2 linked regions of the Cricetulus griseus genome follow. The protein of the gene in region 1 binds, or shares a complex with, the protein of each later gene. Links are inferred from orthologs where the notes say so. Each region holds a gene or a part of one and is shown in the gene's direction. Other genes may lie near its edges.

Region 1 (3,824 bases):
CAAGGGGGATGACATCACCATGGTGCTCATCCTGCCCAAGCCTGAGAAGAGCCTGGCCAAGGTGGAACGGGAACTCACCCCAGAGCTGCTGCAGGAGTGGCTGGATGAGCTGACTGAGACGATGCTTGTGGTCCATATGCCCCGTTTCCGCACTGAGGATAGCTTCAGTTTGAAGGAGCAGCTGCAAGACATGGGCCTTGTTGACCTGTTCAACCCTGATAAGGCCCAACTCCCAGGTTGGTACAGGAGAGAACTGCCCCCTCTCTACTCCAGGTAAAGGTTTGACCAAATGTGGGAGAGTCGAGGAACACACAGAAAAGAGTGTCAAGTCAGGATATCTGGATTCTGATCCTGGCTCTGTGATAAGCTGTGGCGATCGATCCCTTGCCCTTCCCAGCCCCCTGTAGAAGGGGGTGTTTGCTCTTGTTTCCAGAAGTCTAGCCAGTACTGTCATCCTATGAATCTGTATCTCATAGAGGAAATAAAACCAGGTGGAGAAGGATTTGAAAAAGCATTGGAATTAAAAGAGACAGACATTAAAACCGAAGCATCCTGGGACATGATTGTAATTCCAACGCTTGGGAGGTGGGGCAGAAGATAGAATTCTAGGCCAGCCTGGACTATTTAAAAGACCTTGTCTGAAAAGCAAAATAAAATAGGGGCTGGAGAGATGGTTTAGCAATTAAGAGCATGGGTCATTATTGCAGAAGATCAGTTTCTAGAATTCAAGGCAGACATCTCACAACCTCCTGTTACTCTAGCTCCAGGGGGTCTGACTCCATAGGTACCAGCACTCATGTACACACACACACACACACACACACACACACACACACACAGAGAGAGAGAGAGAGAGAGAGAGAGAGAAGAGAGAGAGAGAGAGAGATAAGAAAATAAGCTGGCGGTGGTGGCATATGCCTTTAATCCCAGCACTCTGGAGGCAGAGGCAGAGGCAGGGGCAGGGGCAGGGGCAGGGGCAGGGGCAGAGGCAGGTGGATCTCTGTGAGTTCAAGGCCAGACAGGTCTGCAGAGGGAGTTTCAGGACAGGCTCCAAAGCTACAGAGAAACCTGTCTGAAAAAAAAAAAAAAGAGAGAGAGAGAGAGAGAGAAATAAGAAAATAAATCTCGAATAAAATAAAAATGAAATATGATAGCAAATTATATTTACTATAGAACACATTTTCATTTTTTCTGTTTTTGGTTGAGACAGGGCCTTATGTAGTCCAGGTTAGCCTGGAATCCACTGTGCAGCTAAGACTGGCTTTGAACTGATTGTGCGATTGCCACCCTGAGTGCTGGGATTACAGGTGTGTGCCACGTGTCTGGAAGTGTCTTTTACGTATCCATACATTTATTTGTTATGTGTGGTGTGTGTAGGGGATGCACAAGTGCCGCTGTGTGTGGATGTCAGAGGACAACTTTCAGGAGTTCAAAGCCATGTAGATCCCAGGATTAAACTCGGGTTGTCAGGGTTGGTGGCAAGTGACCTTACCTGATGAACAATCTCTTTGGCCCCAGCACACCTATGTCAAAAAGAAGCCCACAGCTGGGCATGGTGGCACACAACTATAATTTCAGCACTCAAGGCTGAGGCAGGGTGACAGCCCAGGCTACACAAAGAGATTCTGGCAAAGAAAGAGTTTGATTGGGTAATGGGATTTATCTTTACTGGGCTACCTTTAAACTAGCTTTGAAAGCCAAACCTCTCAAAAATGTTACCAGACTGGAAAAACATTTCTATCCTTAAGAACAGAGTCCCACCCTTCCACCTTCCCCCAAGAAGCTAACATGAAATTAAATTCACAAGACACAGGCCAAAGAAGCCCAGACACCTCCGTTTTTAAGAGGCATCCATTGAAAGGGTGGAGGTTATAACTAGGGGAGGATCAGGGTTCTTTTTCGAAAACCACCCAGAAGGGTGTCTTCATTCAGGCTGATCTCCTGTGTGGCCTGAAGCCAAATCACAGCATCCCCTTCCCTGTTCTTCCTTCCAGGGATTGTTGCAGAAGGCAGGAATGATCTCTATGTCTCTGATGCGTTCCACAAAGCGTTTCTTGAGGTGAGTCCATCTCCCTCCACCCTCTGTCTTTCCTGCATCTTCTGATGAAGAGTTTCCTGCTATGCTCTGATGGTAGAGACAGCAGCAGGAGAGAGCTGTGGAGAGCCAAGTTTGCAGTATGCCTTCAATCATGTACACATGGAGGAGCTTGAAGCTTCTGCCTTCATGTGGCATTCTCTCCTGCCAGAGAAGCAGAGTTAGAGGGTAGCCTGAGGAAAGGGAGCCAGGAAAGGGAGTTCTGAGGTTTCAGGAATACGGAAAGTATGGGGTAAAAGACTGATATCTAATCTGGACAGAATGGGGAGGGGCATGTGCTTAAGTGAAGGGTGAAGAGCAACTGAACATAAGAAAGGAGGCTACTAATGAGAGTGGGTCACCTTCGTGCCCCCAGGTGTGTTCTAGAACTACTGAGATAGATAGCATTTCAGGAAGCCTTGTTAGGCAGGCACATGTTGACTTTGAGAGATTGATTGACTACACACAATGGTGTGCTGAGATCTGAGACGTCCCAGTGAGGAAAACAGTGGAGTACTGCTCAGTCTGTCTTCCCTCAACTGAGATGAGCACAGAACTGTGTGTTAGAGTAGGGCGTGGCAGCTTGTAGTTTTGATTCTCAGATACTGAGGTGTGGCTCCATAGCATTAGGTAGAGATCTTTACCCTTGGAGACCCAGGAGTGGGGCCTGAGGATCTGCTTCTTTGCACAGATCCACTGGGGATCTTCACATACAATCAGGTTTGAGGCCCAATGGTATAGGCTGTTCTTCCTGGAAGATAGGAGGTCCCAGCCGGCTGGATATTATCTTCACACTACTCAGAAATTTAGTTCTAGAATGAGAATGAAATAGATGTGGGACAACCAAGGGGAAGGGGAAAAAACCATCAACCAACCCCACAAAGCACAGAGATCAAACATGCTTAAGAGTCAAGGAGAGGAGGAGGCAAAGGCAGGGGGATTGCCACAAGTTCCAGGTCAGCCTGGTCTATAAAGAAAGCTAAAAGCCAGCAAGGGGTACGTAGTGAGACTGTTTAAAAGAAACCAGAGTAGGTGGCTGACACAGGAGCATCTTGAATGACAGGCTAGCCTCAGCTCCGGGAAAAGTCAGTAACACAGTAATGTTAGCAATTGACACATGCTTTCTGAAGGCAGCCCTCAGATGTGTCATTCAAATATCGTTTTCTCAGGTTATTACTCCAAGAAAAACATGTCATCCAACTGGAGGATTGTCTTTTTCTAAGCCACAGGTTTTGCGTAGCTGTTTGGAGTATTTATACCTGCGATTTTTTTATTTTAAAGATTTTATTTATTTATTATTTATACAGCATTCTGCTTCCATGTATATCTGCACACCAGATGAGGGCACCAGCTCTTATAACAGATGGTTGTGAGCCACCATGTGGTTGCTGGGAATTGAACTCAGGACCTCTGTAAGAACCGTCAATGCTCTTAACCTCTGAGGCATCTCTTCAGCCGGTTTTTTTTTTTTCCCCCTATGCTTCAAGAGTGAATCTATTTCAATTACAGATCTTGGATCTTGATGCTGAATTTCTCTTAGCAGTTGGTTCAAAACAATCCTCTCTAATAATGTTTAACCACGCTATCAGAATGTGGCTTCTAGTTTGAGAATTACACTTGTGGAATTCTTGCAAGGCTTTGGATGAGCCCAGTGCATTATATCCACTGGATGTAAGATGAGCATGTTTCTGGCGAGGACCATTTGTGTCTAAGTGTATTAGCAGTCTGAGGAGCTGCAGGGTCCGTGTGT
Region 2 (2,979 bases), on another chromosome or scaffold:
TTTTTCAAAATATAAATCAATACCTACAAAGAGCCAGAGAGCCTGAGCATGGGAAAGGCGGTGAGAGGGCTATAATAACTGGGTTACCCCTCAGGACTTTAGATACAAAGCTAGTGCTTCAGTGTCCAGGACACAGTAGCTATTCAGCAAGTTAAATTCAGACCCACAACAAGTCCTTCAAAAGGACCATCTCTGCCCTGCACACAAAGGGACCAACATCCCCCTCTGTTGTGTTTAGGAACAGGTTTAGCTGAAGGGCTACTTCCAATTTAGGCGAAGGGCATCAGTTCACAAACGCTACTGGGCTCCTGCAAAGAGTTGACTGAATGCTGAGTGTGCCCTCTAGTGTCCACACTTCTCAGTTTTCTCTCTGAAAATGTGGCACAAAAAGGCCTTTGTTTACATGGGAACTGGAACTAAGTCGATTTAGACATTGATTTGGTAAAAAACCATTGATAGTCCCCTTTGATTATGACGTGAATATGGACAAGAGAAAATAGATTAGCCTCTTATCTAATAATGTCCATGTTTAATGCAGCACTCAACACACTTTTGTCCACATTGTCTAAAACTCAAGTACAGCAAAGCAGACTTTTTAGAACAAGGACAGCCTACATTTCTAGCCAGAGAAAGCTGGCTATGATTAGGAGAGATGGAAGAGATGTGTGAGTCCTGCTGGTGACCAGCACATAGGTGACTAATAAACACAGCCCTTGCGGGGGCCTCGGGCCTCGTTTCATAATAATTTAATTTGAAACAACTCCTGAGAGAACAGGTCATTTTTCTCTTTCAAGTGACCGGGAGCAAAGAGATGCCCCCATACAAGACAAGAGACTCAATAGTAATTATTCATCCTTGGGAGTTAGTATTTCCTTCCATACACACTGTATCTCTTTGAAAAGTGTGTGCCAGCACACTCTAGGTAACATGGGAAAAGGAGCTCAAGGACCCACATCACAAAAAAAGCCACTCCTCAGATTTGCCTGGCCTGGAGCACTGTCCCTACCACTCTGTCTCCTTTTGCATTCACTTCAGGATCATTAGAGAAACAGCTGTTCAGTTTGTACTCCAGAAACACTAATTCATCTGTGGAGCTGACACTTTCCAGAAATCCTCCAATTCTGCCAGCACCTAGAAGCCAACTTTACCCACTCCCGAAAATAGCATATGTATTCATTTTTCTCTGCATCAAATATCATATGCAGTGAGATTCTTAATTTTATCCCCACAGGTCATCTTAAATGGTGAAGTTGAGGCATTCTGTGGAGGTGCCATCATTAATGAAAAATGGGTTGTAACTGCTGCCCACTGTCTTAAACCTGGTGATAAAATTGAGGTTGTTGCAGGTAAGTAAACCAAATAGATAATAATTAGCAACAACAGTGTATGATAGACATATCATGTTGTACAGAGGTCCAATAGAATTGTTACTAAATCGGGCTAATGGTCTATGGACCATAATTTCAAATTCTAACTTATTTCACCTTCCAGTCCCCACAATTCTTTTTTAAAACTCATACAACACTCCCAGCAGGGTACAATTCTTTATGCATCAACTTCCCCGCCCCCTACATTAGATCATTGAGACTTGGTTGCTAGTGATCAGTGAACCCAAGCAGAGTGTAGACCCATGGGAAATATGTTTGTGCAAAAAACAATAAACTACAAGATTTGTTTTCAACAGGTGAATATAACATTGATGAAAAGGAAGACACAGAGCAAAGGCGAAATGTGATTCAAACTATCCCTCATCACCACTACAATGCATCTATTAATAAGTACAGTCATGACATTGCCTTATTGGAGCTGGACAGACCTTTAATACTAAACAGCTATGTAACACCTATCTGTGTTGCCAATAGGGAATATACAAACATCTTCCTCAAGTTTGGTTCTGGCTATGTAAGTGGCTGGGGAAAAGTCTTCAACAAAGGGAGACAGGCTTCCATTCTTCAGTACCTCAGAGTTCCACTGGTTGACCGAGCCACATGCCTTCGGTCCACAACATTCACCATCTATAACAACATGTTCTGTGCTGGTTACAGGGAAGGAGGCAAAGATTCTTGTGAAGGAGATAGCGGGGGACCCCATGTTACTGAAGTAGAAGGGACCAGTTTCTTAACTGGCATTATTAGCTGGGGTGAAGAGTGTGCAATAAAAGGCAAATATGGAATATATACTAAGGTTTCCCGGTATGTCAACTGGATTAAGGAAAAAACAAAGTTAATTTAATGAAAAAACCTATTTCTGAAGGCAATTCACTGGGCTGAAAATAGACCACGCCCTGTATCAACTAGTCATTTGGCAACTCTTGTTAAATCTATAGATACTGATTTTTCTCTGTGCAGAGGAGGATCCCATCTAGGATCTATACTATACGAGATCAAGTAGGTTAGCAAATGCAATTACTAGAGAACTGGTTTGATGAGAGAGATTTTACTGTTTCCATGAGTCCAGCCCTTGGTGAAATTAGAAAGGGAAGTTTTCCATGGTGTCCACCATGCTTCTCAACTGTGATGACTTACCCAATTATCCCTCCTTAGAAGCAATCCGTGTTTCAGATCTTCCTTGCCTCTCTCAAATTTATTGGTTTTCTATCCAGAATCTTTAGCCCATTTAAGGCAAAAAGTACACAGGAGCAGCTGCTAGTTTAAAACTCATCAAAAGCTTGACTTCCTCTCTTGTTTTTCTTCTGAATTCTGTATCTTTTCAAAATTCCAATCCCAAAATCAATGTTCCCCTCACTCACTCACACTCTCCATCTCCCTGGCCATTGGAGGAGGAAAAGGACTGTCTTTTGTAAATTCCCTACCCACCCACCCCATATTTGCTTTCAGTTGGATCTCAAACTTCATTTGAACAACATGAAGATGAGGTACACTACCTATGATCATTTGCACCACCCAGGATAGTTCCCTAAGAATATGTAATCGGTGATCATGGAGACCTAACTAGGGATGTTTCCAAGAAGGCAAACTC

Evidence for each region.
Region 2: the proteins of Serpinc1 (region 1) and F9 are in contact, whole or in part, in a crystal structure (PDB 3KCG), measured with the Homo sapiens proteins. The link is inferred for Cricetulus griseus from reciprocal best matches to the Homo sapiens genes SERPINC1 and F9. Residues at the interface, in NP_000479.1 of Homo sapiens: Glu264, Asn265, Arg267, Glu269, Met283, Met284, Tyr285, Glu287, Met347, Val349, His351, Val420, Val421, Ile422, Ala423, Gly424, Arg425, Ser426, Leu427, Asn428, Pro429, Asn430, Arg431; in NP_000124.1 of Homo sapiens: Lys247, Val248, Asp249, Ala250, Phe251, Cys252, His267, Cys268, Glu270, Glu285, Tyr312, Arg358, Phe360, Lys362, Gly363, Arg364, Ser365, Leu367, Lys387, Phe388, Asp405, Ser406, Cys407, Gln408, Gly409, Asp410, Ile429, Ser430, Trp431, Gly432.

The regions. Positions count from the first base shown.
Region 1 is NC_048598.1:31,064,665-31,068,488, reverse strand, and holds part of Serpinc1 (antithrombin-III), read left to right. Parts: coding exon 1-236; intron 237-1,994; coding exon 1,995-2,059; intron 2,060-3,824. UniProt on the Homo sapiens protein: Most important serine protease inhibitor in plasma that regulates the blood coagulation cascade. AT-III inhibits thrombin, matriptase-3/TMPRSS7, as well as factors IXa, Xa and XIa. Its inhibitory activity is greatly enhanced in the presence of heparin.
Region 2 is NC_048604.1:12,691,218-12,694,196, reverse strand, and holds the end of F9 (coagulation factor IX), read left to right. Parts: intron 1-1,231; coding exon 1,232-1,346; intron 1,347-1,684; coding exon 1,685-2,232; downstream 2,233-2,979. UniProt on the Homo sapiens protein: Factor IX is a vitamin K-dependent plasma protein that participates in the intrinsic pathway of blood coagulation by converting factor X to its active form in the presence of Ca(2+) ions, phospholipids, and factor VIIIa.